2 linked regions of the Schizosaccharomyces pombe genome follow. Each later gene encodes a partner of the first gene's protein in a complex. Each region holds a gene or a part of one and is shown on either strand. Other genes may lie near its edges.

Region 1 (4,679 bases):
GAAAATATCATTTTCGTTTATACGAAATTTATCCAACCGTTGAAGCTCGTAAGCAAAGATGTTAAGCAAAAGCTCAGAATCAGATCCAGTGTTTACATGACGATGGGCCTCAGTGTCCAAAAAGCGTCGTAATTCGGGTCCATTAATTAAATTACCATTATGGCCCAACACAAGACCATAAGGAGAGTTAACATAAAAGGGTTGTGCTTCAGAGTGAGCACAACTTCCAGCAGTAGGATAGCGCAAATGACCAATACCCATACTACCTACGAGTTGGCGAAGTTGATGCTGACTAAAAACATCGGCAACCATGCCGGATCCCTTGCATTGGTAAAGACGACCTTTGTTTCCAGCGGTTACAATACCGGCGGCATCTTGACCCCGATGCTGCAAACTGTAAAGACCCTCATAAATTTCAGGACATGCCTGTTGATGAGGGTCAGCAAGCATTAACGCCAAAATTCCGCACATTTTCTAAAACTTGTTAGAGCTTCGGTTGTGAATTGAATACAAAAGATAATAAAATGATAGGTTTAAATGTACAAAAGAAAAAACAGCACCCAGTCAAATTGCTATAACTTGATTAAAATAATATGAGTCGGACTGTTCTATTCGGACAGCAATCAAAGTTTGAGAATACTTGGAATATAATTTCAATTTTTTTGTACCGACCGTAAAATGAGTTGTATGTTACCATCACAGAAAATAAAAAATTTTAATCAATTAAGCAGACCTCAGAAAACCTTGTAGCTACATAAGATGAAATTCAGAAGTCTAGCATCTAAATAAACGGTAATCATCATAGGCAAGTACTGCGGCGTTGGAAAATCAATATCTATATTAACTTACTTTTTAAAACGCGTACGAAACAAAAAAAAAAAGATTTTCAGGTACGCGCTGAACAAACACCGTAGTTGGGTATATTGTTAAGGCAAAATTTTGCTGCCGTATAAATTAATTTATTGTCCGCCTTAAATGATAGTGAAGTATGAGTCGAAACTATGACTGCTCAAGATTGTGATGAACGATTCGCTAAATAGAAGCTTAAAGAGAGGTGGGATATGCGCACGTTAATATAGGTAACAGGTATAGCTTGCTACTTAGCTGACAGGGTAGATGATATTAAATTGTTTGCTATTTTTGTTGCCAAAAAAAATTTTTTAAGCTTAAAAATATATCTTTAAATAAAACCTTCTTATATCAAAAAAAATTCGATGAAGTTAAGAGTGGTGCAGTGTTACAGTAATGCCGCATACACATCAACTTATTATTGAGCTTTACCGGAGGTATCCCATTACTATTTATTTGTTATAAAATCTTTCAATGTTCTGGTTTTTCTTCCTTCTTTACTCGGTAGTTAACAACAATACATTAATCACCGAGATGAGAGCTATGGGTAATCTAATCCAAAACTTTTAGTTCAACTTGTTACGATTGCAGTAGTCCAATGGTTTTTAAACTTAAAAAACTAATGAAAACAATACACAATGTACTGTATCTCTAATCTTCTGATTCCTCAAAATAATAGTTTACTAACCGGCTTCAAATATTTGTTCCTTAATTGGTGTACAGAGGATCATTTTCTGAGCGCTTGATTGATATTTTTTACTATCGGATTGATTATAAACCAGGATCGCGAAAACGTACCGATTTATAAATCGTTGATTATTAAAACATCTTTTTTAATATTGCACATTAAACAAAATTACAAGTGCAAAGCAATAATTAGTTTTCAAGCAGCTCCACATTTTGAGTTGGTAAATCATTTTAAAAAAAAATCATCAATAGTTCATATTTCATGAATACATTTTTCTAAACACAAATATAAATTCAGCACATTTTTATTTCAGATAGTGATGTGTAACGTGTAAACTTTTGGCTCGTTAGTAGGGATCTAGGAAAGTAAGGTTTTCCATCTTCATCAAATATTGGCGTACTGCAAAAAAACCCAATAATTCGTCTTCTATCAGGTTATAAAAGATTTTGGCTTCAAAGCATCCTTTTAGGTAAAAACCTTTTGTAAAAGCATCCAACGCCTTGAAGAACAACATCTCACAATGTCGTTGTATGAGCATGCTGCACTTCCTTTAGCCAGTAGCCCTTCAATCCTTGGACCTATTTCTGGTGGACGAAATCGGGGGAATATTCAATTACAGTCTATTCCGATTGAATTTCAAGCTGTTGTTTTTGCAGGATTTGGCAATAGGTAAAACAAACAAGTGTAGTACTGACTACTTAACGATTTGGATAATGATGACTTCGCACATATTATCTTCATCAACACTTAAAAAAGATAAAATAACAATAAGAAAATACTAACCATGTTTTAGTTTATATCCTTTGACTGGAAGCGATGCACTTCCCAAGGCTTTATTACCTATCGGCAATAAACCGATGCTTCACTACCCATTATATTGGCTTGAAGCTGCTGGATTTACTTCTGCTATTCTTATTTGCATGGAAGAAGCGGAAGCCCATATCAATGCTTGGTTACGATCTGGCTACGAGGGACATATGCGTATTCACGTGGAAGCACCGACTATTTTAGATGATTCTAAAAGCTCTGCCGATGCTCTTCGTGCTGTATCCCATCTTATAAAGGTATGATTTATTTTTATGTATAAGTAGATATGCATGTGTTCTTAGACTTTTTGATCTTTTCTCTCTCATTCTGCAATTTAATTACTCGTCTTAAAGTCACAAAAAATGCTAACCGATACCCACCAGAATGACTTTGTGTGTCTCAGTTGTGATAGTATAGTTGGTCTCCCTCCCATATACGGTTTGGATAAGTTTCGCCTTGATAACCCTTCAGCACTGGCTGTATATAGTCCAGTGTTAAAATATGAGCATATTACAAGTCAATCTAAAGAGATTGATGCAAAACAACTGATTGGAATTGAAGAGAAGACGAGCAGACTATTGTATGCCAAAAGTTCCGCAGACGTGGGCAGTGATTTTACATTTAGAATGTCTTTGTTGTGGAAACACCCAAGGGTTACGTTAAATACAAACCTTTCGGATGCCCATATATTTGTATTTAAACACTGGGTTATTGATTTGATCCGGGAGAAAGAATCTATTTCTAGCATTCGTGGAGATCTCATCCCGTATCTTGTTAAATGTCAATATCAGAAATCCTTTACTGTACGAGAGAACATTCAAAGATGTAAGTGCTTTTTTTAATTAACTATTTTCTAACAATTAAAGTTTTGTCATCTCCTAACAATATTGATAATTATGATGGGGGATTATCCTCACAGGAAATTAAAATTAATGCTTTAATTGCCAAAGATGGGATTATTTGTTCTAGGGCTAATAATTTACCTAACTATTTCGAACTTAATAAATGCGTATGTTTTCGAAAGCTGAGCTTCATCTCGCTTTTTAGCAGTTTCATCCAATATCTCTAACAGCAAACTAGATCGCCAAACTTACTCCAGAACAACGCCTTGTAGATGTCACCGTGTCCGAAAGAGCACTGGTCGGTGCCGATTGTATGGTGAATGAAGGTACCACCATTAAGGATAACAGCAACATTAAAAAGAGCATTATCGGTAAAAATTGTGTAATTGGAAAAGGGGTAGTGGTCAGCAACTCTATTTTGATGGACAACATTGTTGTTGAAGACGGAGTACGTTTAGAATCTTGCATAGTCGCCTCAGGTGCTCAAATAGGCGCTAAGTCAAAACTTCGTGAATGCGAAATTGGCGTTGATCATCGCGTTGAAGCTGGCCGTATCGCTCGGGGTGAGCGGCTGGTTGATATGGAAAAAATTGAGACGGACATGGACTAATACTGTGTATCAAACCGTTGTCAGCCAACCTTTTTTTTGAAATAGATATAATAAAAATTTCGTGCACTTACTCTACAAAGTGTGTCTAAACTAATCAAGGTAAAGGTGATATTAGTCAGGAATTTTTAGATTAAAAATATATACTCATAGATCAATATTAGCTAAAAGCGAAGGGGAATAAATTACAGATGAAAACGCATGTACATATATATGCAAAAAAGTTATACATATATACAAGGTTATACACATATACATCTAAAAAAGTTCATATCGCTATGGGTTAGTAATAACTCGAAAATATTTAAAACAAATAAAATAACCAAAAACTTTAGCACTCAGCGATCTTGGTGATAATAAAAGAATCATTTATTGATCATAAGCAAATATTTCATCAATTGCAAAGCAGAACGGTTATTTGTTTTGAAAATTAAATTGCCTTACCTAACGTTCATAAAAAACAGGACGTTCTTTAACTCCATTATTATAATATTTAAAACTTAAAACAGTTAGCAAGGTATTCGTATTAACAAAAGCAGTTGATGTAATGGAAATCAATCAGAAGATTATTTGTCGCATACTGATGGAGCCCATATGGGAATCAGGCAAGATCCCGAGCAATACCATCGCTCAATCGCAAATTATAGTCATCATACAAAAATATCCAAATAACATATTAATTTTACTTACCTAAAACTGGGTGTTATTAGAAACAGCTACATTACATATCTCACACTGGTAAGTGAAAACGCCAAGTTGTTCCATGAGCAAAAAAGTTTTTATAGAGGAAAATGAAGTGAAGTAAAAAAACGTATTTATGCAACAAAAAAAATAAAATTTTAAAAATAATAAATAAAAAACTAAATTCGTGTATTAAATGATGAAG
Region 2 (4,292 bases), 3.7 Mb from region 1:
GACAACCTCCGACGATTATCTATTTCTTCCTGAAACCGATATCCCCCCAATCATACTTTCTCGGAGTTATGTGAATTCTGTCTTAAAATCATTACCTGCTCTGCCTGACGAACTTTTCCAAAAGCTTACAACGGGTTCTCATGCCATTAGTCATAAAGAGGCCCGTACATTATTAAGTGTGAAGGAATACTATCACTACTACAGAAATGCGTACCACCATATCGATTCTATAAGCCATGTAAATCAATCTTTGAAAGAGGATGCTTTACGTACCCTTCCATACTGGATCACTGTGGAACTAGTAGGAAAAGTTCGTGAAATTGACCCTTCCCCTAACATCAATATCGTTCCTCCTTTGCAATTGGCTGACATTGTACTTCTTGTTTCCAAGAAGAAACTTACAGCTGCATCTGCTAAACTCTTCCTTCGTTCATTGATAAAATCACCTTCATCGAAACCTATATCTACTCTCATCCAAGAAAAAAATTTTGGTACCATTGGCGATTCCGAGAAAATAAAAGCTTGTGTAGAAAGTGTTCTTAGTAAACATTCAAAACAATTTGAAGAGTTGAAAAATGGTAAAACTTCCCTTATAAAGTGGTTTGTTGGCCTTACGATGAGAGAGCTTCGAGGACAAGCAAGTCCCAAAGACATTGAGATGGAAGTGCAAAGCAGTTTACGAAGGGAAAAGTAATCAAATTGGTTTGTATATTAGTGGCCCTAGTTTTTTTAATTACTGCATATTTCAAATCATTAGACAATGAAAGGAAACTCGTTAAAATTCATAGTCCATTTACTTTAATTTCAAAGTTTTATTTTGCTGAGTTAATTGCCTGTATTACTTGCAACAGAAACCCACAGTTAAAAAAATTCAATCTAATGTAACCCATGTTATTTATTCCAAAATTTTAATATTTACCTAAACACGTGTAAAGAAATTTGATAAACTTGATTTAATAGGTAATCAATTTTCCAAGAGAAAATAGAATGCAAACTCTTTAAAGAATTGTATCGCTTGCATCATAAGTATCATTCATAATACGATAAAGGTAGGAAGGAGGATAGCCACCCAAATTGGTAATAAACAGATCTACTAGGTCTGGTGGGATGTAATCATAGTAAGGGTTTAAAATTTCAGCGCGGCTTATTAGATCACCTTCATTAAAGGACATAATTTTATCAGGTGAAGACAGTTGGATAATGGATTCTAAGTCATAAGGGTAAACAGGGCTAAGCTTATAAATACCCGAACACACCACTACGGGAGTAGCATGGTGCCTGGCAGCCTGAGCAACTAATTGGGCTCCACTATAGGTTACCAATCCTCCGTTACCCAAGATTGCATGCGTACCAAGTATAACTTTATTCACGCGTGACATGATTGCAAAAATCGTAGCATCAGATATAACAGTTGTATCAATACCAGCCTGAGCTAATCGCTTTGCCATGGCATGAGAACCTTTTTGGTTATTGGGAAATCCTTCTGCAACAATCACTGAAAATTTGCGTTTCTTTGCGGCAAAACGGAGAAAAGCTTCAACAGTTTTTGAGCAACCCTGAGTTAAAATAATTTCACTAAAAAGGTTAGCTAACTGATAAGATGTTTAGCATGACACCATACTTTGAATGCAAATGGTCCATTGATTGAACTTCAATATCAGTATTAATCTTGTCCAACTCATCGATTACATCTTGGATGCCAGATATGATCACAGCGCGCATATCCATGCCACCGGTGACCCTACTGTCACCGACGGTTTTACTATGTGTGGGAGACTCAAGAGTAGGACGACCTAATAAATTAAGCATAGAAGAGTACATCTGAACTGAAACAGGTTCGTGACTTTGAACCAATTTTTCGTTAGAGGGAATGTCTCTTTTTTGAGAAGGGCTAGAAGAGTTCGATGAAGAAACGATTAACTTCTCATTTTCATCAGCAGTCTTTAATAATTCTTGATATTCTTCGCGGATTAAGCGTAAAATTCTTCTAATAATATTTCCACAAGAAAATTCTTCACGGTTTAGCATGTAACACAATAAAAGAATATGATTCAAAATACATACCAGTAGGTTGAGCCTTGACAAGAGTAGATCCAACAGCACGGACTGTATCAATTAATTGATCAACTGTTGACCAGCGAGTTTGAGAAATCACTTGTCTCATTACCAGCGCCGTTTCAACGGCAACTGCAAAGGGGCCTTGTACCTTTCTTGACTTTAAGTCTGCTATCAAGCTACTTACAGCCGGATAGGTATGTTCAACATTAATAGTTGACATTTTCAGGCGATGGGAAACGACAAGTAGTGTTTACATGTTAATAACGAACAAATACGAACGCTGTAAAAATGTAATAACTTGTTTACAGTAATTAAAACATCGTTAAAGCATATACCGAAGTTGACGCCGCAATAAAGGAACGGGGATAGTGAACCAAAACAAAATGTAAGGTAAAATCAGTTGGTAAAGAGCCAGGCTTGCTTGGGAAAATTTGGGAAATGGATTTGTTAGTCTAAGCTTGATTCGGTGTGTAATCTATTGAAGATAAGGTAAAAATCTATATCTTATAAAATGTTAAAGCCCCTTTGCGTTGTCATCGGTACTACAGGAGCTGGTAAGTCGGATTTAGCAGTTCAGCTGGCGAAACGGTTTGGAAGCCAAGTCATTAATGCTGACTCGATGCAAATTTATCGGGGATTTGATACTATAACCAATAAAATTACTGTGGAAGAGCAAGAGAATGTTCATCATCGCTTGATGTCCTTCTTGAACTTTGACAAAGAATACAGTGTTCCCGAGTTTGAACGAGATGCCTCCCGCGTAATTGACGAGATTCACAGTCAAGGAAAGATACCTATTGTGGTTGGAGGGACTCATTATTATTTGCAGTCCCTTTTGTTTGAAGATACTACTTTGTCGGCTATTGATAAATTGACGAACGATTCATCACCTAGTAAGCCACCCCATCCGGACTCTCATATCTTGGATGATGATCCATCTGCTATGCTTTCGTATTTAAAAAAGATAGATCCCGTGATGGCTGAGCAATGGCATCCTCGGGATACTCGTAAAATTCGAAGAAGCCTAGAGATATATTTTCACACCGGTCGACCGCCATCTGAAATTTATTCTGAGCAAAAAATGAAGTCAAGTGGCTCTAAACTTCGATACAAATCTCTAATATTTTGGGCGTTCGCAGATTCTTTAGTCTTAATGCCGCGACTTGATAAACGTGTTGACAAAATGCTAAGCCATGGATTGGTTGATGAAATAAAAAGCATGAAGAGTCTTGCTGAAAGTGAAAAATTTTCTCCTGATTTCACCCGTGGGATTTGGCAATGTATTGGATTTAAAGAATTCATGCCATGGTTTGAAGCGCCTTCGGATATAGTCTTTAATGATTGTTTAGAACGAATGAAGGTTTCTACTAGACAGTATGCAAAATCTCAGAAGAAATGGATCCAAAGTCGATTCCTCCCGATGTGTTTGGCTCAACAAGATTTATCCCCTTCTTCAATTCTATTTTCCACCACAAACACTACGGACTTGAACAATTGGGAAGAGCAAGTTGAAAAGGCTTGTAGAGTATTTCAATATTTTTTTTATAATGGCGATGCCATTGCTCCATCTGCTGATGATCAGCACGCTTTCGAAAAAGCCAGAGATTATCTCTCCATAATGAACGGTCGCCAATCTCAGAAAAAGAAGTTCGTTTGCGAGGAATGTTTAGACAAGCGGGGTGATCCATTCACTGTAATAGGAGAAGATGCGTTCAATGTCCATATTAAAAGTAGGAAGCATAAAACCACGGTGCGACGTAAAAAAGAAAGAGCTGAGCGTCAAATTCGTTTAAAAAACATTGGAATTTTAAAATGAAGTCCATATTGTATTTATTATTATATTTTTGGTCATGTTCATAATATAAGTCATAAAAAGCTATGGAGAATGGTCATTATTGAAGTATTCAAGATGGATGCACAGTGTTTATTTATCCAGATTTAGAGCGTTAACTTGTAAGCTAATAGTGAAATTTATTATTATATACGCATGCTACGAACTAGTCTGAATAATCATGCTTGAAACCTTCAAGAATGGAGAGACGACAGAGGATTCCATAGCAAAGATTTTACTTCTTTAGATTAATACTACAAGGGTAATGCTCGTGAATTTTCAGTTTCTCTGTGACTAAGTTATAAACAATTTAACACTAGAATTAAGCTACGTTTAGGATTGTACATACCAAGATCGATTAGTGAAGCATTACGCAGCATTTTAGTGCCGGTCGACAAATACC

The links.
Region 2: tif223 (region 1) and tif222 share a complex: the UniProt entries of both Schizosaccharomyces pombe proteins name them as parts of the translation initiation factor 2B (eIF2B) complex.

What each region holds. Positions count from the first base shown.
Region 1 is NC_003424.3:5,365,491-5,370,169, forward strand, and holds tif223 (translation initiation factor eIF2B gamma subunit tif223), read left to right. Parts: upstream 1-1,914; 5' UTR 1,915-2,057; coding exon 2,058-2,206; exon of another isoform or gene 2,207-2,275; intron 2,276-2,330; coding exon 2,331-2,601; exon of another isoform or gene 2,602-2,724; intron 2,725-2,727; coding exon 2,728-3,169; exon of another isoform or gene 3,170-3,210; coding exon 3,211-3,353; intron 3,354-3,424; coding exon 3,425-3,796; 3' UTR 3,797-3,888; downstream 3,889-4,679. Other genes in the region: amidophosphoribosyltransferase Ade4, read right to left, coding at 1-471. UniProt on the Schizosaccharomyces pombe protein: Acts as a component of the translation initiation factor 2B (eIF2B) complex, which catalyzes the exchange of GDP for GTP on the eukaryotic initiation factor 2 (eIF2) complex gamma subunit.
Region 2 is NC_003424.3:1,671,378-1,675,669, forward strand, and holds tif222 (translation initiation factor eIF2B beta subunit), read right to left. Parts: upstream 2,300-4,292; 5' UTR 2,279-2,299; coding exon 2,065-2,278; intron 2,013-2,064; coding exon 1,622-2,012; exon of another isoform or gene 1,604-1,621; intron 1,576-1,603; coding exon 999-1,575; 3' UTR 820-998; downstream 1-819. Other genes in the region: glutamyl-tRNA amidotransferase beta subunit Gta2, read left to right, coding at 1-694; tit1 (tRNA isopentenyltransferase), read left to right, coding at 2,570-3,874. UniProt on the Schizosaccharomyces pombe protein: Acts as a component of the translation initiation factor 2B (eIF2B) complex, which catalyzes the exchange of GDP for GTP on the eukaryotic initiation factor 2 (eIF2) complex gamma subunit.